Linked DNA regions of Ovis aries. The protein of the gene in region 5 interacts with the protein of the main gene of each other region in a pairwise test. Links are inferred from orthologs where the notes say so. Each region holds a gene or a part of one and is shown on either strand. Other genes may lie near its edges. The genes, in order: PGK1, EXOC7, SRGAP3, SYBU, DISC1, clusterin and GRIPAP1.

Evidence for each region.
Region 1: the proteins of DISC1 (region 5) and PGK1 interact in a two-hybrid assay, tested with the Homo sapiens proteins (2 studies listed by BioGRID and IntAct). The link is inferred for Ovis aries from reciprocal best matches to the Homo sapiens genes DISC1 and PGK1.
Region 2: the proteins of DISC1 (region 5) and EXOC7 interact in a two-hybrid assay, tested with the Homo sapiens proteins (2 studies listed by BioGRID and IntAct). The link is inferred for Ovis aries from reciprocal best matches to the Homo sapiens genes DISC1 and EXOC7.
Region 3: the proteins of DISC1 (region 5) and SRGAP3 interact in a two-hybrid assay, tested with the Homo sapiens proteins (2 studies listed by BioGRID and IntAct). The link is inferred for Ovis aries from reciprocal best matches to the Homo sapiens genes DISC1 and SRGAP3.
Region 4: the proteins of DISC1 (region 5) and SYBU interact in a two-hybrid assay, tested with the Homo sapiens proteins (2 studies listed by BioGRID and IntAct). The link is inferred for Ovis aries from reciprocal best matches to the Homo sapiens genes DISC1 and SYBU.
Region 6: the proteins of DISC1 (region 5) and clusterin interact in binary tests that used the Homo sapiens proteins (3 or more experiments, as listed by UniProt). The link is inferred for Ovis aries from reciprocal best matches to the Homo sapiens genes DISC1 and CLU.
Region 7: the proteins of DISC1 (region 5) and GRIPAP1 interact in binary tests that used the Homo sapiens proteins (3 or more experiments, as listed by UniProt). The link is inferred for Ovis aries from reciprocal best matches to the Homo sapiens genes DISC1 and GRIPAP1.

What each region holds. Positions count from the first base shown.
Region 1 is NC_056080.1:69,217,830-69,221,329, forward strand, and holds part of PGK1 (phosphoglycerate kinase 1), read left to right. Parts: intron 1-2,711; coding exon 2,712-2,815; intron 2,816-3,456; coding exon 3,457-3,500. UniProt on the Homo sapiens protein: Catalyzes one of the two ATP producing reactions in the glycolytic pathway via the reversible conversion of 1,3-diphosphoglycerate to 3-phosphoglycerate.
Region 2 is NC_056064.1:54,905,202-54,909,215, reverse strand, and holds the start of EXOC7 (exocyst complex component 7), read right to left. Parts: upstream 2,801-4,014; 5' UTR 2,735-2,800; coding exon 2,675-2,734; intron 2,488-2,674; coding exon 2,422-2,487; intron 1,299-2,421; coding exon 1,114-1,298; intron 926-1,113; coding exon 820-925; intron 1-819. UniProt on the Homo sapiens protein: Component of the exocyst complex involved in the docking of exocytic vesicles with fusion sites on the plasma membrane.
Region 3 is NC_056072.1:17,480,469-17,483,968, forward strand, and holds part of SRGAP3 (SLIT-ROBO Rho GTPase-activating protein 3), read left to right. Parts: intron 1-2,460; coding exon 2,461-2,589; intron 2,590-3,500. UniProt on the Homo sapiens protein: GTPase-activating protein for RAC1 and perhaps Cdc42, but not for RhoA small GTPase. May attenuate RAC1 signaling in neurons.
Region 4 is NC_056062.1:67,666,375-67,669,874, reverse strand, and holds part of SYBU (syntabulin), read right to left. Parts: intron 2,376-3,500; exon of another isoform or gene 2,295-2,375; 5' UTR 2,238-2,294; coding exon 2,214-2,237; intron 1,829-2,213; exon of another isoform or gene 1,613-1,828; intron 567-1,612; exon of another isoform or gene 499-566; coding exon of another isoform or gene 484-498; coding exon 279-483; intron 1-278. UniProt on the Homo sapiens protein: Part of a kinesin motor-adapter complex that is critical for the anterograde axonal transport of active zone components and contributes to activity-dependent presynaptic assembly during neuronal development.
Region 5 is NC_056078.1:3,813,906-3,818,048, reverse strand, and holds the start of DISC1 (disrupted in schizophrenia 1 protein), read right to left. Parts: upstream 2,801-4,143; 5' UTR 2,726-2,800; coding exon 2,626-2,725; intron 1-2,625. UniProt on the Homo sapiens protein: Involved in the regulation of multiple aspects of embryonic and adult neurogenesis. Required for neural progenitor proliferation in the ventrical/subventrical zone during embryonic brain development and in the adult dentate gyrus of the hippocampus.
Region 6 is NC_056055.1:102,020,630-102,024,129, forward strand, and holds part of clusterin, read right to left. Parts: intron 3,453-3,500; coding exon 3,044-3,452; intron 1,239-3,043; coding exon 1,137-1,238; intron 1-1,136.
Region 7 is NC_056080.1:56,106,882-56,110,381, reverse strand, and holds part of GRIPAP1 (GRIP1-associated protein 1), read right to left. Parts: intron 2,885-3,500; coding exon 2,807-2,884; intron 2,723-2,806; coding exon 2,627-2,722; intron 2,504-2,626; coding exon 2,447-2,503; intron 2,334-2,446; coding exon 2,234-2,333; intron 432-2,233; coding exon 301-431; intron 1-300. UniProt on the Homo sapiens protein: Regulates the endosomal recycling back to the neuronal plasma membrane, possibly by connecting early and late recycling endosomal domains and promoting segregation of recycling endosomes from early endosomal membranes.

The DNA.
Region 1 (3,500 bases), on a different chromosome or scaffold from region 5:
CAGGCCCTAGTGTATTATGGAAGAATAATCTGTAGTTTTAGAAGGGGAATTAACTTAAAGCTTGAGCTTGGTACTTTTAAGACAGTAAATTAAATTTGATATCATTGGGGTTTTCTTATAAAAGAATCATGTGACCAGAAAAAGTACTTTTCGTAAGTCAAGTGGAAAGGGACTATTTGGAACATTTGATTGAGTTAGGTAGATGATGGTCATGATGATATTACCTTGGGTTTAAGGCACTTTTCTTAAGTGTAAAGGATCTTTCTTTGAATTTCTTAATATAAGGAATGACACGTACCTTCATTTTTTTTTTTTAAACCTAGGTCTCAGAAAGGTAATTACTTGACTAAGGTTAGAAGTAGTAGTACTGTTGCTGGGCTTTATATATAGCTCAGTCCATCAATAAGCAAACTTTATGTAAAGGGTCAGACAACAAATATTTTAGGCTTTGTGGGTCAGACAGTCAGTCACAACCTTACATGGTCTCTGTTGGAACTGTTCAACTCTGCCATTGTTGTACAAAAGCAGCCATAGGGGAAAAAAACCAAAAAAAATTTAAAAGGCAACCATAGGTACCTACAAAGTAGATTACTGTGACCTGACAACCAGGATTTAAATATTAAATGATAGAGCTGGCTCTTTTGAGGATGATTTCGAATTTGCCTATTCATAGAAAGGAAGCTGGGCTTCTCACGTGGCTCAGTGGTAAAGAACCCACCTGCCAGTGCAGGAACCTTGGGTTCAATCCCTGTGTGGGGAAGACCCCCCTGGAGGAGGGCATGGCAACCTACTCCAGTATTCTTGCCTGGGAAATCCTGTGAACAGAGGTGCTGGTGGGCTACAGTCGATAGGGTCACAAAGAATTGGATACAACTGGGCATGCATGCTACTGGAGATCAGTGGAGAAATAACTCCAGAAATAACTGCCTTTCTGAGACCTAGGTTTTTTTTTTTTTTAAATATGAAGGTACCTGTCATTCCTTATCTTAAGAAATAAGAAGGGGATCAGAAATCACCCTTTATACTTTCTACTCTTAATGTCTTTAGTATCTTGGGGAACAAGATGCTCTGAGGCAAGCATCTCAATCTCCTGTTACGCTTCTGACATTTCTTAAGGTCATCAGAGTGCCTGCTTTTAAGCAGTTTCTTTTCTTAGCACTGCAGGCTCAGGTCTTGCCATATCTTGCCTTTGGCATGGTCTTGCTACAGTAGTAGAAGTTAAATGCTGACCTAAAATTTGGTGCCCTTTTAGACTGAAACTCAAGCTGTTCAACTCTTGGGCTTAGAAATGGCAGGAAGCAAGTTGAGGCAAAACATTATATACAGTAAGTGATGAACCAACTGTGCTAGTCTATGTCTTTGTGGGTAGTTTACTTTACATTTAGTGTTCAGTGGCTTTTCATGCTTGAAATTTTTGGAACCAGCCATAAGTTCAAAGTGAATAAAAAACGAAGTGAGGCATGAAATTTTTCCTTTACGCAGGATACCTGCATTATCTTTTAGGAGCATTCTCTTCCTTCTGGTTCCTGGCAGATAAAAAATGAGAAATAGGTTCTGATTATTATTAATTTTTATAATACCTTTTTCATAGATAGCTTTTAATTTGTGTCATTTTCCCATGAACAGTTCTTAAATAGAGAAGTTATCTTCCCTTTTTAATAGATAGGAAAGGATAGAGAAAAACTTGACAAAGGTTACACAGAAAATTAGTGTCAGACGTGGGCCTAGAACCCAGGTCTCCTGCCATTTGGGCAGTGTTTTCATGACTACACATCTTGCAGTCACCGTTGGCAGATAATATTCCATTCTAAAGAGATTATGGGGGCTCTACACTTTAGTTTTAGCATTAGTGCCCCTGTATTCTTTGGGCCACTAGAGGAAAGCCCATTCTTTGTGACAGCCTCCTTCACTTCAGTGTATAGGAGAATGAGAGTGGACAGTGACTAAACATCTGCTTTGACACTTCTCTGCCATAATCCCCCTCATCTGGCTTTCTATGCATCTTTGCTTTGTTTCCTACTGGAGACTCATTGTTTATTCTGCTGTCCTGCTTTCTTTCCCCTATGAAAAGGGTAGTATCCCTGGATAGTGAGCTGACATTCAAAGCCATATGTTTGACATCAACTTTCTATCCCTCTATCTTTTTTGTAGAAGTGTATTATTTTCTCAGATGCCTAACTTCCAGGGAAAGCTATATGAATTACCTCCTTTTTCTGAGGTGCTGTTCTGTTGTCAGGTTTCCATCTGCCTTCTCTGTCTCAGCTTGTCCTTGTTGCTTTCATGAGAAATATGTATGAGAGCTTTTTTCCGTTTGCAGAAAGGTCTTGGCAGCTAGCAGCTTGACTCAAGTATCCTAAATTTTACAAGGAGAATGTGTTAAAATGAAGCAGTGAGTCAAAGAGAGAGAAGGGTAATTTGTATTTTGTCCTAGGAGCTGGAGAGAGACCAGTGGGATGTGATTAGAGGTTAAGCTGTGATTCAGGAATCTTAGGCTTGCAATTTGAGGGAAGGCAAAGGAGAGCAAAAACATACAGAAATGAGCAAAAGGTCTGGAATATTTGGAAGAAAGACCAGATCCTGTTGCTAGTTTTGAAAATTGCTATCCTGCCAACTCAGGGTCTTTAGATATGTTGAAGAGGACTCTTGGTATGAAATGCTTTTACAGTTTCTTTGGAATCATCAATGTCTCCCTGTTTTGTTTTTCTCTTCAGGTTAAAGCTGAGCCAACTAAAATAGAAGCCTTCCGAGCTTCACTTTCCAAGCTAGGGGATGTTTATGTCAATGATGCTTTTGGCACTGCTCACCGAGCCCACAGGTACTAAAAGTTTTTTGTTCATTGTCAAACTGAGAGCGTTATTTCTCTGTTTACTTAAACAGCCAAAGGTCTGGAATGGTTTTGGAAATTTCTGTGTTGTATTGTGATCTTTTTGGATTCTATCTCTAATTGGAGCTACAAATAAAACTGTGGTTCTTGTTGGGTATCCCTGATATAAAGATGAAATAAAAGTAAAAAAATGTTTAGGATTGTGGAACCTTTTGTTGAGCTTTAGGAAGATGTTGTTCTGTCTTACTTCGGATATTTCATGGAGAGCTCTCTCCCTTTGTGATTGCTGTGGGAGCAGAGTCTTAGGCTGTCGGAAGCAAACTGAGGAATCCTTCCCTGTTGTCATCGCCCAGCTGATAATTTATTGTGGTTAAACCCTTGGTCTGAAGACTATTAATTGGGTATCTTAAATTCTACTTAAGGTAATTGCTTTTCACTTGTTCTCCTTTATCCTGCATTATTAGCCAGAAACCTTATCTTGTACTTAGGTGTTTTGTTGTAGTTTGGGGATGAAAACCATGGTGTCCTGGAGTCTCAAAAGTGAAAGTATTTTAGTGATAAGGAGAAGGCCTCTAGAATTGGGAGGATTGCTAAGGATTGACTAAAATTTGAATGTCTCTGTTCCTTTCTAGCTCCATGGTAGGAGTAAATCTGCCAAAGAAGGCTGGAGGTTTTT
Region 2 (4,014 bases), on a different chromosome or scaffold from region 5:
TAAACCTGGAGTTGTATATTTTTTTGTCTTCTTCTCTAGCCCACCCCTACGCCCAAGTTCTAGCACAGAGCTCTTCACTCTGTGACCTGAACTTGGTAGAGATCCTCAAGAACAAAGTTCTCCAACCCCTGACATTCCAATCTCTGAGTCTAGGCTGCCCACTGATGGGTTGCAGTATAGTGGTTATAGTGGTGTGTCCCCTCTGGGTTACTAGTGTGACAGTGTACTGATCCTGCAGTTTTCTGTGTAGCCAGGTGGCAATGGTTACACAATGTGAATGTCACTGAACTGTTCCCTTAAAGATGGTCAGAAATGGTAATTTTTATATTATTTATTTTTCAGTACAATAAAAAATACCCATGCATTTATAAAAATCAAATGTTAAATCTGTATTTCATAGGTAACTTGTAATGTGTGTTCTCTGCTGGCTCAGTGGTAAAGAACCTGCCTGCCGATGCAGGAGATCTCTGGGTTGAGAAGATCCCCTGGAGAAGGAAATGGCAACCCACTCCAGTATTCTTGCTTGGGAAATCCCATGGACGGAGGAGCCTGGCAGACTACAGTCCATGGGGTCACAAAAGAGTCAGACACAACTCAGCAACTAAACAACAACTTATAATTTAGCTAAATTATTAAAATGCAATCAAAATGTAGACCTGTAATTTCTGAAACAGACATTTCAATGTCTGTAGTATGTGCATGGTACTATATACTTCTCTTCATTCGACTATATTATCTTTTAGCTGGTTCAGTGTCTCATGAGACCCGGACAGGGATTGGTGTCTCCCAACCTCTCACATCACTCTGCTGGCCCCTTACCACTTTGTTGAGCTCTGGGCTGTCTGGGCTATTGTCCTGGAAATATTCCACAGCCTTCTGAATCTTGGCCATGCTTCCCAGATACTCCTCTAGCCTACCTGTAGGCCTGGAAAGGAGAAGAACCATATTAGCCCGGGCAGATGGAAGATGAATAGGAAGGACTAAGGGAATGGTATTTGGAAATGGTGAACAGAATTAACACAGGGGACTCTAGGCTCATATATATTCTACCCCGCTTCCAAAGCCTACTGGTCCAAGAGGCGTTAGGAATGTGACCCTCTGGTCCGAGCTCACCCCTCTCTGATGATCTTCTCAGTGTCACTGGCCACGTGGTAGTAGCTGATGACATGGTCCAGACAGGACAGGGTCTTCTCGACATTCTCCTGCAGCCGCTGCAGGTTCTCCGTCTGCTTGTGCACGGGGATGATGGAGTTCTCCAGCTTCATAAGGCGACTTTCAAAGGATGACAGGATAGACACCTACAGGGGGAAGCCCCGTGCTCTCAGGCCTCAGGGTTGTCCCAGCACTGCTTCTGCCCCTTGCCAGGTCTTCGCATTTGCTGCCTTTTCTCTGGTTTTCTAGACAGTAGGCTCCAAGAGGAGAGGGACAGGGTATACTTATTCCCCACTGTATCCCCAGGATCTACCACATGCCTGGCAGATCGGAGGTGGCCCAAATAAATTGGCTGAAGTTTGATTTGAAGGCGAGGCAACCATTACATTAACTTCTCAGAAAATCACCTCAGGATGGCTTCCCTTCCACCCTTTAAAGCCAGATCTCAACTTATGTTCTCCCTGATGCTTTCCTAGACTGAACAGGAACTACTTTCATATAGAGTAGCCTCAAGGTACTCTATACCAGCATTCCTGGTACCTTCAAACCCCCTCTCTCTAAGGCTAAATCTCATTAAGTAAGGACTAGCACCTGATGACTGTGTTACTGAATACATACCCACCTTTCTATCTACTACTCAGTTTGGGTTTTCCAGGCTCTTTTCAGAATAAGAAAGGAAGTTCATGTTTATTGAGTACCTATTGTATACCAGATACTGTGCAAGAGGCATTTCCATGCATTAGCTTCTATGACCTTCACAGCTACAATGGAGATTGGCATCGTCTATTTTAGCAGAGGAGGTAACTGAGGCTCAGCGTTACCTGTCAGGAGCCACACACACATAAGTGGAGGGGCAAGGGCTAGATCCCGCATCTATCTGATTTCTGATTCATTTTACCCCTCCAGCTCTCCAGAGTGACGGCTGAGTCTCCTGCCCTCAGTAATCTCAGAAGTGGTAACCCCACCCGTGATACCCGCACTTAAACTAAGGGTGACCCATGGCCAGTACCCAGCCCACTTAAGTCAGTCTCACTAAATGTTTGCGGAAGGAGAGAAAGAAGAATGGAGAACTTAGGCAGAAAGCAGAAATGTGGGGAGGCTGCCGCATCCTCAGCGAAGTGGCGGGCAAGGGTGTAAGAAGTGTAACACTGTTGCTAGAGAAACCCAGACGTTACCACCCATCACCACCCAGGCCAGAAGCCTCAGGCTTTAGGTACCAAACCCCTGGGTCGCAGCGTCTGGAGGCCCTCCCAGCGAGGGGTTACTCACCATGTTCTTGGTGAGCTGGTCGCTCTTCTCCAGGCTGTCTCGGATGAAGGACAGCGTCTCCTCCTCCTGCGAGGGGGAGGGGAGGACATCAGCAGAAGCCAGAGACCACCGCATCCCGGCTCCACAGCCTCGCCCGGACCCTATTGCCTGGTACCCGGCCCCCTCCACTCCTGCTACCTCCCCTCCCTGAGTGGACGCCCGGCCCGGATCTCGGCCCCTTCCCTCACCTCCTCCCCCGCCTCCCCAGCCCCACCTGCTTCAGCTTGTCCTCGATCTCCCGCCGCCGGGCGGACGCCTCCTGCGGGGGAATCATGACTTCGACCCTCCCTGCGAGCGGCTCCCACAGCCGAGCGGCTCCCACAGCCCAGCGTCTGGCTTCAGAGAGCCCTCTCGGCTCCCGTCCCTGTCACACCCACTTCCGCCCGTGGCCCCCTCCCGGGGGCCCGTTTGCCGCCATGTTGGGAGTGGCAGGCGGAAGTGCGCCTGCGTGGAACTCAGGGACAGGGGAACCCGGCAGGTGGCCATCTTGGGTGTGGCGGGGAGGTGCACCGGGTTTCACCTTGATGCGTGTTGCCGCACTCATCAGAGAAGGTTCTCTAGGGGTGTTTTGTCCCGCAGCTGGCACAACAGTTACAGCTCACTTGCCGTCTTCGTGGGAAGGCTGACTCTTTTCACAAAGATTAATAACAAATTCGTTTGTCTGGATCCAGGCACAGATGAGGTGTTCCCCCGCAAAGCACAGCACAGAGCTTGTCACACAGCAGGCGCCTAATGTGTGCTCATTTAATGACCGAGGGACCTATGTAGTCGTGTCCCCCTTCGGCCCTAAAAGCTCTCACGGAATGCGCCCTGTGTGCAAGCCCTGGCCCGGGCAAAGAATGGTCGCCCATGGCCCCAGAGGCATCCATAACTACAATCCCGACTTGTGAGGGGCTCGGCCAAATTCCTGGGGTAGGAGGGGTTCTGGGAGCACTCATCCCGGGGACTGGGATGGGACCAGAGAGAAGCTCCAAGCGCCACACTAAGGTGTCTGTTTTGGAAAGAGAGACATGGTTTTATTTGCTGGGGGTGAGGGCCAGGCCGCGGGTAGCGAGTGGCTTCAGCGGTGTATTTGCCCAGGTCTGGAAACAGTGCAAGGGGAAGGCTGAAAAAGTCCAGACCTGTCCGAGGGGTTAGAACCCAGGTGGTGTTCTCAGTGATGGAGACGCTGAGGCCTATCTGCTGGTGCTCAGACACAAGGGGAGCGTTTCTCATAGGGCCGCTGAGGACATCAGAAAGGCCTGGAGGGCTGGTAGGGACCCTCCTGCAAGAGGCCAAAATATCTCAGCTCCTTTGCCCAGAGTCTCCTCTAATTAGGGGCCAGCCAGGGGTGGGGAGGTGGCCCTGGGTCAGGGTTCCTGCAGGGATGAATGTTCTAGATTCACCACAGACACAGCTCCTGCAAAACCTAGTATTACTCCCTCCTCCATTGCAGAGGCTCACCCTGCCTCTGGTCTCACCCTGGGGTGGTAAGTGGCTGCACAGCTTTGTTGAGGCATCCAGATACAGGAAGACAGACAGTGAAGCATATGCTGGTGGGTGAGAAGGTTTGGG
Region 3 (3,500 bases), on a different chromosome or scaffold from region 5:
CAAAGGGTAGAAACAGTCAACTGATGCATAAAATATGGTAAATCCCTATGATGGAATCTTCAGCCGTGAAGATATACCATGGATGAACCTGGAAAACAAGCGTGCTAAGTGAAAGAAACCAGTTACAAAAGACCACATGTTATATGACTCTGTTTATTTGAAATGTCCAGAGTAGACAAGTGCATATAGACAGAAAGCAGATTATCGGGTGTCAGGAGCTGGGGCAGAAAAGAATGGAGAGTGACTGCTAATGTACAGGGTTTCCTTTGGGGTGATGAAAATACTCTAAATTTAGATAGTGGTGCTGGCTGTATTGATACAATATTCTGGGAATATACTTTGATACAATATGTCTGAGAATACATTAGAAATAGACTTTCAAAAGTAAGATAACCAGGCAGGGCACTACAGAGCTACAGCGTAAGGGGACCTATAGAGGGGTAGGGACAGCATTGGTTAGAGAGGTCTGGAAGCTTAAGTTTGAGTTCAGGATTGTATGCTAATCAATCGTTTGGCTCTTGGACAACCTACTTCTCTTCAGTGTTCATTTCCTCACCTATAAAATGGATGAATTAAACTAGGATATCTTCAAGATCCTTTCCAGGTGTAAACTTTTATGAGTCCATGAAGGGCTGAAAATGGTCTCAGGGTCATAGTAGCCCCCTGGAAATGGGCCAAGAATATCAAAATTCTCTGTGGAGGCTGGGTGTGTGGCTGGTTCAGGGTATGACTACCAAAAGCTTATTGCTAGACATTTCAAGAATAAGTGGACCCCGAATAAAGGTCAGAAGAGATGTCTGAGGAGAGTTAAAAGGCTGACAATGGAGTGTCTCTGCTAAACAGGAGAACGTGATCTGCAGCAATGAAGGTTGAGAGTGCCTAGGTAGGAAGCAGCCTTGTTTCAAAGGAGGCTCTCTTCTTCCTCGGCAGTGGGACTCATCTGTCTGAAGGGGGCGAAGAGACAGCTCTCCAACCCAAGGACTCATTCTTGCTTCCTGCCCAGGAGGACCCAGGACAGAAGCAGCTTCCCAGGGAGGCGGTCCAGCTCAGCCTGGGTCAAGACTGCACGTCTGGCCGCCACACCCCACCTCACCTCACCACTCACATCCAGCCAGTGCCAATCACTTCATGCTGCCCATATGCAGGGACTGGTCTGGGTGCTGTAGACCCAGCCATGAACAGGGACCATTAAGCCCCTGACTTCACAGGGTACACTGGAAATCAGCGAGTTAGTAAAGAGGTAAAAAAATATAATTTAGGGTGGTGAAAAGTACTCATGAAAAAAACTGAGCAACCAAAATGTCCTTCAGTAGTTGAGTGGCTAAGTAACTGTGGTACATCCAGACCATGGAATGTTATTCAGCACTAGAAAGAAATGAGCTATCAAGTCATGAAAAGACATAGAGGAACCTTAAATGCATGTGACAGAAACCAATCTGAAAAGGCTACATACTATATGATTCCAACTATATGACATTCTAAGAAAGGCAGAACTATGGAGACATTAAAAAAAAAAAAAATCAGTGCTTACAACCATTACGTGGGAGAGCGGGATGAACGGGTGGTGCACAGAGGATTTTTCCAGCTGGGAAACTGCTCTGATACTGTAAGGATGGAAACATTTGTTCAAATCCACAGAATATACACCAAGACTGAACCCTTGGGTAAACTGTAGACTCTGGGTGATAGCAATGTGTCAGTATAGGTCCACCAATTATAACAAACGTACCACCTGGTAGAGGGTGGTGAGGGTTGGGGGGCAGTGTGTCAGGGTCAGGAGGCATGCCCAGAGTCTTTTTACCTTCCTTTCAGTTTTGCTGTGAAGCTAAAACTGCTCTAAAAAAGTCTTTTAAAATTTAAAATAATCACTAAAAATTGAATAAAGATTAAATAAATGGGAAAAATAGGGCAGAATAGAGCATGGGAAGGGGCAGGCAAGATGCTGGGGACACTGATGCATGTGACCGTGGCTAAGGACCCGAATAACGTTAAGAAGCAGGCCATGCAGGGACCTGGAAGGATGGCCTGCCATGTGGAGGGAAGGAGTCTGAGTCTAGAGGCGGGAGTGACCTGGCCTCTAAAGGCTGGACAGAGGAGCACCTCATAAAGGATGGGAACATGGACGAAGAGCCGGGTCGGGAGGGTTTCACAGGCCATCATCGGGGTTTGAGCAGCCTCTGGGGGATGTTGAGTAGGGGGCCCTGGAGGTGTGAGTTACACTCCGCTCTGGCAAACCCAGGAAAAGCCTGCAGCTTACCCAGCAGTGCTGTTGTCGGCTGCACATGTGTGGTATAAGGTGGAGCTCTCTGAGTACGGGGTCTAGATCCTACTCACCCAGCACGTGGAGTAAGGCATCCCAGGGCCATATGAGGGGCTGACTGCAGATACTGGCCGTGTAGAAACTCCCAAATCCCTCCCATCAGTGGCTTTGCCCTCACATCCATGTTTCCCTTCCTCCAGAGGCAGGCAAAATATTCTGAGAACAAGCTGAAGTGCACCAAGGCCCGGAACGACTACTTGCTGAATCTGGCAGCCACCAATGCGGCTATAAGCAAATACTACATCCACGACGTCTCTGACCTCATCGACGTGAGCTCCTGGGGAGCCTGCGCTGATGACCTGCCTGGCGAGAGTCATCAGCTGTGGGAGGGCTGGCCCTTGTTCTTTGCTGACGTGTGGGGTGGATGGTGGCCCTGGGAGCCCTGATGGGGGAGACAAGCAGGGAGCATTTGAGAGAGGAGTATCACCCCGTGGCTTCTACCTCCCCGAGTGGGAGTGGGCCTCTGGCGGCCCTTGCACATTTGGGCTGGGCAATTGTAGTTCAGTGTGCACTTTCCAGGCACACCTTCCTCTACACCAGGTCCTTTACTGGTTTTGGGGATAGAGGGGTGATTGTACACAGTTCATGCCCTGGGGACTTCCCACGATTGTAAAGACGGTTATATGTTCAGCACCCCTGGGGTTCAGTCCTCCAGACATAGGGAAGAAAATAATGAATGAGACAGAATTACGCAGATCAGCTTTACTTGGGGATGTTATGTTGGGAGAAATCAGGCAGTTGAAGTAAAAGGAAAATGGAACACTGGCTCCTGAGTGCCAGCTGTGCAGAACGCACTGGTGGGACAACCAGATTTGGGCAGGAATGCTGTGAGCACCAGGTTTGGGGCAGCTCCTATGTCAGCTGTGATGGAGCTGGAGTTGCTTGGTGTGTCTTCATGAAGACAGGTATCCGGCCCAGCAGGTGCTTGGTCAGGCTCTGTGAGGGCATCCTTTTCCTCTGGCCCCGGTGTACCAGCGGGCACTGCTCTTCCCTCAGATGCAAAGGGATGCATTAGTGTCATTATCACCACCTCCAAGAGAGGGAGCTGCCTGGCCCTGTCTTCAAATACCCACCATTCCTGCTTCCAAGGCAGGAACCCTCCTTTTTCCTCCCTTTCAGCTTGCTTTTTCACACAGCCCTTTCATTTGTTTATTTACCAAGTTTGTACTGAGTACCTGCT
Region 4 (3,500 bases), on a different chromosome or scaffold from region 5:
CCAAGAAATATATTTTACAGTCATAGAAAAAAGAAGTTAAGATTTCACATAGAAAATTATCACCTAGAATAACATAAAAACAGGTATGAAATTCCATCGGGTTGAACCATTCGAAACTGCTGTATCCCTAGGTTAAAAGAGTCAAAAAGATGCAGCCTCGTACTATTCATCCTAATAACAGACATCTGCTCCGAGACTCTAAGGGGCCCGTTCCAGGTCCACTCACAACGCACCCGCAGCGTACTCACTTCCTGCCTTCGTTCCCGTGGGTATCGTACCTGAGCAGAAGCTGTTGCTGCTCACGGTCCTCGCTGAGCGCCCAGAGCTGCTGGGGTTGAACTCTCTGCTCTCTTCCTCCGAGAAAGGAGACTCAGAGGCTGGGGACACCTTGTGCTGTTGCTGAGGCAGATGGGGCCGAAGAATCAAACGGGGAATCCGGCTTCGGGCAATCTCCTTCTCATGATGCTGTACTCTCAGCTCCTTCTCCAAATCGGACATCAGAGAGAAAACAAAAGGACACTTGTTGCCCCCTCTCAACTCCAGTCTGCTCCTTCTGGGCTCAGTGTCTGCGGAGCCACATTTCTGAATATTAAATCTTCACAGAGCAGTCCTTGTTTCAGTATCTAAAATGAGCTCCAAAACTCTCCTACTAAGCTAAGCCTTCTAATTTATTGAAGATCACACGCTACAGCATGGATGTGTATACACACACACACACACACACACACATTCAGCTGCTAGCAGGAAGGCTATTCCTTTCTCTCATGTCTAACTCACCTTGCCATTCTGGCTTTTCCTAGCACATTCAAGCTTTCAGCTCTCTCAAAGGCTCTTTATAACTCGCAGCACACTCTGATTATTACTTGATTTCCTCCAGACTTCCATTTTGCTTTCCCTGAATTAGCTGTGACAATCTGACTTCTGTTTTCCTGTCTCCTGACAAAGCAGACCCCTATACCTGAAACAGTTTCCCTAGATAGATCATGCGCCTTATCTTTCAAATGCACCCCCTCTTCCGGCCAGGATTTTAATTATTCATTAATATCCTGGTACACAAGGCTTGTTGCCAACAGAAAAGCAAACAAAAATTCAATACCGGGTAAGATGGCTCCGCCTTTCTCATCATGTTTAGCTTTTGTTTCTTTACAGGACACTCAAATGAAGACATTTTTTCTCCCTCTCTCTCTCCTTCAAAACACAGCATCAAGTGCAGAGGGCTTTGAAAATGCCCCAAAGCATTATTTCAGTAATATTTTCCCATTTTTAAAGTGCTTTGCCAGCCATCATTTTGTTTAATCTTTCCGACAACAGAGGCCACGGAGAGCACACTAATTTGCGTCCCTATTTACAGATGAGGAAACTGAAGCTAAAAGAGGCAGAGATGCTCAGCCAAGACTGCTGCACATCACCTAGAAGCAAACGGGAGCCTGCAGTCAAGAGCTGGTCGGTCGGGGTCACCCCCACCCTTCCCTATTAAAATGGACTCCCAGGACGGGCTCTCTGCAGAAAAAAACCCACCGCTCCCTCCAACCTCTGCAACTGAAAAAGGGCTTTGGATTAGGTAACGAACACTGTGGAAACATGACCTCCTGCTCATTTCCACGCGGCTTACCAGGAAGGGTCGCTGCCAAAGTAAACACCTCTGAGAGGCCCTCACAGTGCAGGAATTGAAGGGAAAGTCCCAGCCGCGGGTAACTCCCGAGGTCGCTCAGGCACCCGCCCTATCCAGGGGCGAGAGCCGCACCCAGCCTGGAATCTGTGCTGTCACCCGGCAGGTATCACACGCCAGCCGCTCCGCTGGGCACCAGGCGGACCCAGAACCAATGCTGGAGTTCTTATTTCTCAGTCACCAGTATATCAAATCCTTTTTAGTCACATCACACACGGAGGACGACGATTGAGAGCTAGATCCCCAATCTCCAATTTCAGGGAATGGGATTAACCCTTCGGAGTCCATTTTTTTAATCCTCAGTGTCAACCCTCCAAACACCGTACTACCTCCCCATCTCCCGGGCCTCGGATCTCATCACCTGGGCGACAGTCCCCTGCTTTCTTATTGCGCCCGCCACCTCTGCGTCCCCGTCCACCGCAATCCTAAAGGTCATCCCTCCAGCTCTCACCTGATCCGCGTCCCTCCCCGCAGTGCCCACCTCTCCTCTCCCTCCGGCGCTCGCTGACACAGCCATCGAGCCCTCCGGACGTGCCCTCCTTACCTTGGTCTCCCGAAGGGGTCCCATCGCGCTGCCGCCTGCCGGCTCCTCGCGCCGCCGCTGCCGCCGTCCAGGAGGTGGCACCTGCGGGCACCGGGGGCGAGGAGACTACGCTGAGCCGGAGCGCGCCGCGGGCGGCCGCTGCTGCGGGGCCGACGCGCCGCCGCCGCCGCTGGCGCTGGGCTCCGAGGGCGCGCCCCGCCGCCCCGCCCCGGCCGGACACGTGGTGCCACCGCGGCTGCTGTTGCGCCGCCCTCTCCCGGACCTCCCTCACCTGCCGGCCCCCGACAAGGCTCCTCGGCGCGCCCCGCCTGCCCGACTTGGCCGCGGGCTCTCCTCCCAGATCAGCGCGCCTCTCCCGCTCTGCCGAGCCCGACCCTAAGAGGGGTCGCGGACGGAGGCTCGGAGCATCTTCAGCCCGGAGAAGCCCAACACCCCCCTTTGGGCACCTGGTATGGGGTTCGAAAGGGGTGCACGTGGGAGAGAAGAACCCAGAAGAGCTGTGACATCACGGAGAGCCAACCTGTACTAAGGGAAAGTTTTGCCTGGCGGCCCCTCCCTGCCCTCCAGGTTTTCTGTCCGCGTCCAGCTTCCCGCACAATTACCTCGCCGGAGAAAGGGGGTGGGCCGCCCTCCACCCGGACCCCTGGCAAGCCAGTGCTGCAGGCCTAACACAGCATCTGGGTTCCAGGATCTCGGAGGCTGCGCTCCTCCTCAGGCGGTTTGCATCAGAAGGGCCTGGCGTTGGCGGCGCGGCGCTGCCGCAGGGAGGGAACGGCTGGCTTGGGAAGCCGGGCTGCCCCCTCTTCAGCGCCGAACCACCGCCGCCCGCCCGCCGGGAGTCAGTGCCCAGCGCGCGGCTCTGGCGACGCCTCACTCGAACTCAGAAAACCAGTTCAGGGCGGCACGCCTCTTGCTTCTAGCGAAGTGCCTATATGCCTAAAGTTCTTGACCTCTCTGAACTAAAAGTTTATGCTCGTTAAATTTGAGGGATAATAATAATAACAGCCTCGTCAAGTGTAGCTGCTGCTGCTGCTGCTGAGTCGCTTCAGTCGTGTCCGACTCTGTGCGACCCCGTAGACGGCAGCCCACCAGGCTCCCCTGTCCCTGGGATTCTCCAGGCAAGAACACCGGAGTGGGTTGCCATTTCCTTCTCCAGTGCATGAAAGGGAAAAGTGAAAGTGAAGTCGCTCAGTCGTATCCGACTCTTGGCCACCCCATCGACTGCAGCCTACCAGGCTGCTCCGTCCATGGGATTTTCCAGGCAAGTGTAGCTAGGAGGATTAAAAA
Region 5 (4,143 bases):
GAGTACGTCAAGGCTGTATATTGTCACCCTACTTATTTAACTTCTATGCAGAGTACATCATGAGAAATGCTGGGCTGGAGGAAGCACAAGCTGGAATCAAGATTGCTGGAAGAAACATCAATAACCTCAGATATGCAGATGACACCACTCTTATGGCAGAAAGCAAAGAACTAAAGAGCCTCTTCATGAAAGTAAAAGAGGAAAGTGAAAAAGTTGTCTTAAAACTCAACATTCAGAAAACTAAGATCATGGCATCTGGTCCCATCTCTTCATGGCAAATAGGTGGGAAACAATGGAAACAGTGTCAGACTTTATTTTGGGGGGCTCCAAAATCACTGCAGATGGTGACTACAACCATGAAATTAAAAGCCACTTGCTCCGTGGGAGAAAAGCTATGACCAACCTAGACAGCATATTAAAAAGCAGCGATTACTTTGCCAACAAAGGTCCATCTTATCAAAGCTATGGTTTTTCCAGTAGTCATGTATGGAGGTGAGAGTTGGACCATAAAGAAAACTGAGTGCTGAAGAACTGATGCTTTTGAACTGTGGTGTTGGAGAAGACTCTTGAGCGTCCCTTGAACTGCAAGGAGATCCAACCAGTCCATCCTAAAGGAAATCAGTCCTGAATATTCATTGGAAGGACTGATGCTGAAGCTGAAACTTCAATCCTTTGGCCACCTGATGTGAAGAACTGACACAATGGAAAAGACCTTGATGCTGGGAAAGATTGAAAGTGGGAGGAGAAGGGGACGACAGAGGATGAGATTGGATGGCATCACCGACTCGATGGACATGAGTTTCAGGAAGCTCTGGGAGTTGGTGATGGACAGGGAATCCAGGCGTGCTGCAGTCCATGGGGTTGCCAAGAGCTGGACACGACTGAACAACTGAACTGAACTGAGCTGATTCATACTTTACAAGAGATGTGGTTTTTCCAGATGGCACAGTGGTAAACAATCTGTTTGCAGATGCAGGAGACAAGGGTTCGATCCCTGAGTCAGGAAGATCCCCTGAAGAAGAAAATGGCAACCAACTCCAGTATTTTTGCCTGGAAAACCCATGGACAGAGGAGCCTGGTGGGCTAGAATCCATGGGGTTGCAAAGAGTCAGACACGACTGAACACACACACACACACACACACACACACACACACACACACATTCATACTATAATCAAATCAAACTGGTGGTGGTTTGTTTGTGTTTTTTTTTTTTTTTCACCACTCCAAATTAACTGGGTTTTGCTTAGTGAAAAGAGCATCTGAGGCTCTTATTTAGAGCTTACTACGTATCTCAGCACCAGGTTGGGTGTTCACATCCATGGCCACAGTCAAACCCACAGCGACTCTATGAGGTCACTGTCATTGTCCCATTTCATAAATGGGGCAACTAAGACACAGTTAAGTGCAGGGTTGAGATGCAAGCTAACTGTCTCAACCTCCAGCTCTTAAGGCTCTGGTATTACCCAAATCGCATTTGCCTGCCCAACTGACCATACATTTTGCAAAGTGCTTTCACACACAGCAGATATCCAGACGAGATGGGGAGGGGGGAGGTTACCAGCGTTCTTTTGTGTATGTGATGAAATCCGAGGTTCAGCGCTGCTAAAGTGAAAGTGAAATCGCTCAGTCGTGCCCGACTCTTTGCGACCAGGCTCCTCCGACCGTGGAATTCTCCAGGCAAGAGTACTGGAGTGGGGTGCCGTTTCCCTCTCCAGGAGATCTTCCCAACCCAGGGATCGAACCCGGGTCTCCCGCATTGCAGGCAGACGCTTTACCATCTGAGCCACCGGGGAAGACTCAAGAAGCTGTCAAAGTTACCCGCCTCCTTCCAGTCCAGCAAGGACACATAACTCCCTCACTCCAAATCTCATTCTTATCCCAAAGTCTCAAACTCCTTTGCACGTGTATTTTAAAAGCGAGATGGCAGGGGACATCCTGCCATTCCTGCAAAGCAGCTGTGCACTTCACGGCCTCAGTGTCAACGCTGAGCGCTGACAGCGTTGACAGCTTGACCGGGGCTCCCCGGCTCCAGCTCCGAGACAGCCGAGGGCATCACAGATGCGGAGGAAGTGGGAGGTGAAACTGCTCGCAGAGCAGCCCCTTGGGACGGTGCCAGCACCGCGTCCCCCATCCCACCCCAACCTCCTCCCTCCAGGTCCTCGAGTGCTGAAACCCGAGACTCTGCGAGGTGTCAGGACGCTGTTCCCGGACCAGGCGGCGGGGCGTCCCCTGTCCGGCGAGTGCGCAGGGGAGGGCGCGCGGAGCCCCGAGCCTCGGCTGGCTCAGTCCCCGGGCGCAGCGAAACCCAGCCGCGCGCTCAAGCCGCCTTCCTCGGCCACCGGGACCCACGGGGGCGGGAACTGCGGCTCCCGGGATCTCAGCACCGTCTTCCGGGAGGACCTGGCCCGGCTCGGCGCTGGCGGGCAGCCCCAGGCCCGACAAAGACTTCAGCTCGGCACGCCACGCGCCCTGCCTCAGTTTCCCTCACCCCGCAAGAGTGCAGAAGCCCTAGATATTAACCGAGGCGCACCCCGGACCTAAACGATTTCCAGAGGACAGAGCTCACCCTCGCCGAGGAACCCTCGGCCCGACCCGCCGGGCGGCCGTGACAGCACCCCTACCTGCGCGGTGCCCCCTGCCGCCACCGGCCGGGGCGCCCTGGGGAGCCCCGCCCAGCATGCGCCCCGCCGGCTCCTCCCGATCCGCCTCCGCCTTCTCCATCTCCGCTGCGGCCAGAGGGCTCTGTGCACCCGAGGCCCGCGTCCGGGAAGCTAAAGGCCGAGCCGGACGGGAAGTGGGGAGGGGGCTGGCGAGGAAGGGGAGGCTCCTTCCTCCTCCCGGGCTGGACCGGCTGTTTCCTCTCCAGCCTCGGGGCAGGCACGCGCGCGCGCACACACACACACACACACACACACACACACACACACACACGCGGACGGCTGGGGCGGGCGGGGCGCGCAAGCCCGCAGCCTGGGTCACAGACCTCGGAGAGCTTATTTTTCACTCTCCCTCGGTGTTGGACGAAAATGAGAGGGGAAGTGCGGTGGAGAGGACGGGTGTTCGGGAAGGGAGAGACTAGGAGGCCCTCCTTGGGGGACGGGAGGGTTCCTCCCAGACACTAATTAGGGAAGTGACCACAGGGTTGATGGAAGAGCTGGACGGAGTGAGAGGGACTCTTTTCGCTAGGAGCGGGGGGCGGGGGGAGGATGAGGGGAGACTGCAGCTCACCCTGGGAAAGAGAGCGGGGCGAGTAGTTCTACATGAAATGAGGATCCAACTGTTTGAATCTTCTGGCAGCACTGGGCTGGCCCCAGATCCGCCTCCCCACGTTGGGCAGCCAGCCCAGGACACAACTGCGATCCGTGCTGAGTTCCTAAGCCAGCCCACTCGCCTCCTCTTGTATTCATGCAGGAGTCTCCTGGAGCATCTCTGAAGACGCACCTGCCAGAAATGGTTCTCGCCCTTAAGGAGCTTCCCCGGCCTCCTATGGGGAAGATAAACATGAGCGTGTAAAACTAAATCATGACGTACAGCAGAATATGCAAGAGCCAAAGTCTGTCATGAAACACTGTAGAAGTGGGAGGAGGGGCGGTAAGAGGCAGTGAAAGGTCGGAAAGGCTCCCTGGAGGAAGGGGAAGGATCGTCCTAGAACTGCAGGAGAGTCAAGGTCGTTCAAAAGATCAGGACCATGTGAGTGAAAACACCTATATATGCTTAGAAGTCGGAGTGTTGTGGGACAGAATGAATGTGAGCGTTAATATGAAGAGTGTGGGGAACCATTGGATGAGGCTGAATGTAATGACGGTCACCACCAAGCAGAGATCCGGATTCACCGCAGTTTGTGAGATTAGAACAAGCTGTTTGCTTAGCTAGTTGACAGAAATGGGAGGCAAGAGGTGACCAGCACTAAATGATGTGGAAATGCCAGAACTGCCTTGGTACACTGTAAAGGAATTATCTAAAGGCTTAGGGAGAGTGAAATATTAGCATAGACTTATCACATAAGACCCACTTACTGACTCCCAGGAGGTCCAGAGGACACTCTGAGAAATAACTCTGTGACCCAGCATGCCTGGTCAACTCTTCTCTGTAGATCAGAAATTACCATGGAAACTGCACCACTGCAGCGTGGGTCCTTA
Region 6 (3,500 bases), on a different chromosome or scaffold from region 5:
ATTAAATGCAAAGCAAACATCATTACCACCTCCCCCCCACAACCCCGACACACCAACCGGGATCGATTCACTCAGTACAGGGAAATAATTAACTCCTTCCTTCCAGGCATAGACTTTTGTGAGCCAGGAAGTTTTGTGTGTCAACTGCTTTTATAGCTGTTGACCTCCAAATAGAAAGAATTCAGTCCCCTTGGTAAAACAGAAAGCAACAGCGGAAAAGAGCTATTTCCTCTAACTCAGGGACCAACCAACCACAGGGAAGGTGGCCAGAAAGCGAAGGTACCCCAAGGAGAGACCATATGTTCAGGGCAGAGAACACAGCAGCCCTGGTGGGGAACACCTCCCAAACATCCCCTCAGGAGGGGCATCCAGTAATCTTGGCAGGTCATCAAACCTCTAACTCAGTCTCCTCCTCTGTAAGAAAAGCAGCCACCCGTTATTCTAGGGAGAAGAGTAAATGTTTGTAAGTGTTGAGAAGAAGGGTATTTAGTAACAAACACACGGCAAGAGTTTAATAGTCTCCGTGCTGTTGAAGCACTTCCTCGATGTCTCAGTGGTAAAGAATCTGCCTGTCCATACAGGAGACTTGAGTTCAATCCCTGGGTTGGGAAGATCCCTTGAAGTAGGAAATGGCAACCCACTCCAGTATTCTTGCCTTGGAAATCCCATGGTCAGAGGAGCCTGGTGGGCTACAGTCCATGGGTTGCAAAGAGTCAGAAACAACTTAGCGACAAAACAACAGAACAACAACAACATACTTTCTAAATTTTCGTCTGCAGCCAAAAAAGAAGACGTATACTAGGTTTGACCCCTGGGAATAGACTAACTGGAGGAAGTCACAGGATGACAGCTTTGTAGAAAGCACAGCCACCGCTCCCACAGTCAGCCTGTTAACCATGAGCTGATGTGATAAGTATTCTGTCTCCTGACCTCAGGGACAACTCTGCATCTTAACCCTCAACCCCAGATGGGGATCCAGGCAGAGCCGAGCAAAGGACAGTCCCCCTCACCTAAAAGCCACAGCTGGAAGGCAGCAGAGCTGGCATTAAACTCCCACCCACCTGAGCCCCTCAAGGCAACCCCAGTGAGGTGCTGGGGACCTGAAGACACAGGAGACCAGGGGGCCCCTGACTCACCCACTTCCAGGATCTCCTGGCACTTCTCACACTGGTCCTTCATCCGCAGGCATCCCGTGGAGTTGTGGCGGATCTCCTTACACACAGTGCGGTCGTTGTTTTCTGGGAACACACGGGGACAAGTCACACAGAGCAACATGGGCTGCCCCCATCTCTCTGGGCCCTTCCACACCACTGTCAGGCCCTTTGAGATGATTCTGCGGGCAGAGCAGGTTAGCATCTGGCTGTCTGCCTGAAGACCGCTGGTCTTCCAGGCTCGGACCAGCAGCGAGACTCCCTGCAGTGGGACCAGGAGGTGGCTCCCGGGCCCCCCTGAGCTGGGCATGGCCACCCTCTCATCTCCTTCACCGGCTGACACCTCTCCCACCTCCACACTCCCTTAGCTGTGTGTACTTCTCTTTGGTATCATAACCCGTTTTGCTCTGCATTCTGTCTTGTCTTGTTTCTCTCCCCCTGGCCAGGCAGCAAGCTCCTTGAAGGCAGGAGTAAGATTTACCTTGGAACCTCCTTATAACACAGGGCCTGGGTTGGGAAGATCCCCTGGAGAAGGAAATGGCAACCCACTCCAGTATTCTTGCCTGGAGAATCCCATGGATGGAGAAGCCTGGTGGGCTACAGTCCATAGGGTCACAAAGAGTCGGACACGACTGAGCGACTTCACTTCACTTCACCACCACCCCACCCCTCTCAACCTTATGGATATGCAGGAAATGCTTGTTCAGGTCAATTTGTTGTTTAGCTGCTAAGCTGTGTCAGATTCTTTTGCGACCCCATGGGCTGTAGCCTGCCAGGGTCCTCAGTCCATGGGCTTCTCCAAGCAAGAATACTGGAGCAGGTTGACACTTCTTTTTCCAAGGAATCTTCCCAACTCAGGGGTTGAGCCCACGTCTCCTGCATTGGCAGGTGAGTTCTTCAACACTGAGCCACCAGGGAAACCTGTTTAAGTCAGCACCCTCCCGCACTTCCAATCCATTACAAGCCAGAACCCAGTGCTGGCCCAGCCGTAGCATTTAGGCGATGGGGTTGGCCAACCAGAGTCTATTGGTTCAATGAAAGAAATCACATCTAAAAGTTTCGGCTTTTCGTGTCCATGTTAGAGTTCATTCATTCAAAAGATACTCGCTATGTGCCCATTCTCTACCAGACCCTAAGGTTATAGCCACAAACAGCTTTCTTAACTGTACAGTGAGCTGATTATATAATTCATTGCCAATATATGCATGGCATCCATATAAAGCACCTGAGTTCCCAAGACAAAGGGGTCTAGCCCTCAAGGGCAGTGGTCCACAACCTTTTTGGTTCAAGGGGTCAGTTTTGTGGAAGACAATTTTCCCATGGACCAGGGAGGGGGTGGGTGGGGGATGGTTTCAGGATGATTCAGGAGCATTACATTTATCGTGCATTTTATGCCTATTACTATTACACCAGCTCCACCTCAGATCAGCAGGCATTAAATCCCAGAGGCTGGGGATCCCTACCCTAGAGGAAATAGTGTCATGCCCACCAGTTGTTGGAAGGAGCCTGGAAAATTCAAAAGAATACCAGAGTTACAAGTCCTGTAGGGCTAGATTTGACCATCCCGGGGGATTTCCCAAACCAGGGATCAAACCTACATCTCCTGCATTGCAGGCCGATTTTTTACAGCTGAGCCAACAGGGATGTCTGTGAACCTTTGGGCATGTTCCTACACTCCCTGTCAAACAGGGATGGTAGCCCCCTCCCCAGGTTGCTCTTTGGGGGATTCAGACGATACAGGCCAAGTCCTGGGCACAGATCTGAGCATCTAAGGCTCCCTCCCTCCACACTTCCTTAGCTCCTTAGCTATTCGTACGTCTCGTCAGCATCACAGCCTGTGTGACTAGGTTAAGCATCTCAAAGAACTGAGTTTTCATCCCCCTCCTTCTCACCTGTAAATTCCGTCACGGGGAAGTGGTAGGGAGTCCTCTGCAGGTGGGCGTCCATGGCCTGCTGGGCCTGGCGGATCATGTCGTAGAAGGGCTGAAACACATCGTGGAAGTTGAGGGGTTCCAACAAGGGGAAAGGCATCACGTTCCGGGCAAAGCGGGACTTGGGATTGAAGAAGAGTGACCCCCTTGGGAACGAGCTGAAGGGGGAGTAGTATTGAGTGTCCTGGGGCCTCCGGGGGAAGAACCGGTCCTGGAAGAGCTCGTCCATGATGCTGGACGCCCGGGTGAAGCTGTCCTCCATGACATCCATCACATGGCTCTGCTCCCGATCATTCTCCATCAGGGAATCGATGCGGTCACCGTTGATCCAGAAGTAGAAGGGGGAGCTCTGGTTTAGGAACTCCTCGAGCTGTGGCAGGAGATGGGGGATAGTCAGGGATGCTTCCCCTTTTGTCAA
Region 7 (3,500 bases), on a different chromosome or scaffold from region 5:
AAGGGTCTGGCAAGGAAGCTGACATAGACAATAATAAATGATAACTATGAATTGGGGGAAGAAAGGATCTCCTACATGGATAATGCACCTACTATGAGCCACGTATTTTATGGCACCAGGAAAGGTAGAATTAGCCCAGAGATGATGAAACAGAGGGTCAGAGAAAATAATTTGTTCATCCTCCATTTAGCAATCTGTATCCAAGTTTGTGAGCTTGAGGAAAACTTGACAAGAATATATGTGTGCTGGGCCCAGAATCTGGGTAGAAGCTGGGGCTATAGGTTCTTCCCTGCCCCTTACCCTTGCTGGAACAGTTGAGCTCTCCTTCTCCCGCAAGATCTCGCGGTAGCTGAAGGAGGAGACGCTACTGCTGTCCCCAGTCTGGGTCCGGCTTGGTGAGTTCATCTCTGAGAGAACCAACTCCTCGAGCCCTGGGCAGAGAGGGAAGAGAAATCTGAGCCCCAATCCCCCAGGGTCCCAGGGCAGGAAGAGGCAGAAATAGATTTGACAGAGATGGAGAGAGGCAAAGAGACACTCAGGCATGATGCAGACAGTAGGATAGGGAAAGGCAGAAACAGAAAAAAGAGCTGTTTCTCTAGGCAAACACACACCAGAAGTGAAACAAAGGTGAAGATGGGGAGAAAGAGGCGATGCAGGCACAAATGGGCATAAACTGGCGTATGCACTCAGACTCAAGATACACCATAGCTGGAGAGGGCACAGGGGCACCTGCACGTGCAGAGAAAAGACCCCAGACAGACAGCAAGCCAGAGCAGATGATAGAGGCTAACAGAGATGCTGGTTTAGGACACAAGTCAGAGTAGTGACACAGAGAGAAAAGATGGCGATAGACTCATAGGCATACACCCAAATCTGACTTTCCTAATGGACAAATAGAACGTATGGCACACAGTTTGAATCTGTTTATTGATTTGTACACCAACTTGCAACAGAAAGAAATAAAAGTCCTGCCTTATAATGAGAGGTAACTTCAGGAGACTGAGTCCCTCAGTGAGACAGTGATTTGGTGAGAAATACACCCATTTTGGAGAAGGCAATGGCAACTCACTCCAGTACTCTTGCCTGGAAAATCCCATGGACGAGGAGCCTGGTATGCTGCAGTCCATGGGGTCACTAAGAGTCGGACACGACTGAGCGACTCCACTTTCATCTTTCATTTTCATGCATTGGAGAAGGAAATGGCAACCCACTCCAGTGTCCTTGCCTGGAGAATCCCAGGGACAGGGGAGCCTGGTGTGCTGCCGTCTATGGGGTCGCACAGAGTCGGACACGACTGATGCGATTTAGCAGTAGCAGCAGCACACCCGTTTTTGACAGATCATTTGAAACACAGCCACTAAGCATGTGCCTCTGTTCCTGCAGCTGCTTCTGAGTGTCAGGGAGAGGGGCTGACACAACAAGCCAAGGATCTCCAGCAAGAGCAGGGTGGCTGGGGAGGGACAGGCAGCAAGTTTTCTCTCACTTGTGATACAGGAACTACACCAGAGCCATCACTGCAACTTATTTATTTAAACACAGTTTTAGGCCATTTCTTTGTTAAAGTAAAAAAAAGTCTGAGGCAACTCAAATTTTTCTGTTTTATCTTCTGCCTTAAGTGGCAGAAATAATGTAGACTTTAACTGCATAAGAATCACATGGTAGTTCTGCTACCTGATTGTAAGTCTGTCTCCCCAGCTCAACAGGAAACTTCTGGAGGACTGAGACTTGGGGCGGGGGGGTCCTATCAGGGACCCCAGATGTGAGTGTGAGGGCTCAGTCCATATTTACAGAATGAGAGAATGAACACAAGAGACTGAGAGATACTAGGTGAGGTGTGGGGGTGTATGAGGGGTCGTGAGGACACAGAGACAAAGACAGATGAGAGAGACTGAGGAGGGAGAGAGACAAAGGAACAGAGAGAAGAAAAGACCAGGATGAGAAAAAGAGAGAACTAGAGAGGGAAAGCTGGGAGAGAAAGGCAGATAGAGATGAAATGAGGAGGCAGAGATAGAAACAGAAGAGACACAGCAAAAAGGAGGGAGAGCCCAGAGAGAGAATGCAGAGAGAGAGAAACAGAGGAGGGAGAGATGCAGAGAAAGGGTAAAAGAAAGTTCAAGACGGACAGAACACACAGGAGTGCTCTACAGAATGAAGTACAGGAAGCGGCCCCAGCCTTCAGGCCCAGGCTATGCCTCCCCACACCTCAGCCTCCCCTGTGCTCTGGGCCCTTCACCTGAGCGGCTCTTGCTGTTCGTGAGAATGTCTTGCAGCCGCTCCTGCAGCTTATCTGCCCGTTTCCGCTCTAGGTGCAGCTGCCGTTTGAGGTCCTTGAGCTGTGGGGAAAGGCAGAAAGAGGGGGGCTGAGGCCTGGTGGGCCCACAGGTGGGGGCACCACAGGGCAGGAGTGGGCCACGCGTGAAAGCCTCCCAAGCATGTGCTGTCATACCGCAGCACTGCCCTTCTTTTCCAGGATTCGCTGCCCATCCACGGTGTCCTTCACTTCCTGTGGGAGAGAGACAGCGTGGCTGCGGGTGCCAGCATGGCCGCCTGTAGTGTGCTCCCTCCCTGCCCCACCACTGCATGCTGATCCCCAGGGTGTTTCAAGGGCTCAGGAGGGACCAGGGACCTGCTTCAGGCTGTTGATGGTCTTCAGGTGACAGTCCCGCTCCTCCTGGGCCTGTCGGAGCTGCTCCTGCACACCCTGTAGTTCCTCCTCCTTGCTCTGCAAAGCAGAAGGCAGCTCAGGCCAAGGCCTGGGAAACCTCAGTCCTCCCACCAGAGAGAAATGCCGTCATACAATAGGCACCTTCAGCTCGCTGGCGTGCTGCTCCTGACACTGCCTGAGGGCTTCCTCTTGTTCCTGTTGCTGCTGCTGCAGAGATTCCTACAAGACAAGTCCCAGGTCTGAACACAGCCCCCCAGAGAACATCACGCCCAGTGAGGAGGGTAAGGGACTGCAGGGGGCCCCTGGGTGTGCAGAGAAGACACTCCCACAGGGAACACTGGATGCAGGAGTGTCACATCGAGGACCAACATCTGCATTTACATCTTATTTAATAAAACATAACAGCACTACTGAATGCCAGGAATGCTGTGCATGCTAAGTCGCTTCAGTCGTGTCCAACTCTTTGCAACCCCATGGACTCTAGCCCACCAGGCTACTCTGTCCATGGGATTCTCCAGGCAAGAATACTGGAGTGGGTTGCCATTTCCTCCTCCAGGGGCTCTTCCTGACTCAGGGATCAAACCCACATCTTTTTCGTCTCCTGCATTGGCAGGCAGGTTTTTTACCGTTAGCGCCACCTGGGACTTTATATATATTACCTCATTTTATAGAACCCTCCCATAGTACCTAGACAGCAAGTATTATTGTTATCATTTTTTTATGGATGTTGAGAACCGGCCACAGAGAAGTAAATAACTTGTCCAAGGCCACACAACTATAATAGAAAGCAGCCTAGCCAGGATTCAAACCCAGGCAAACAACTGGCTCCAGCTTG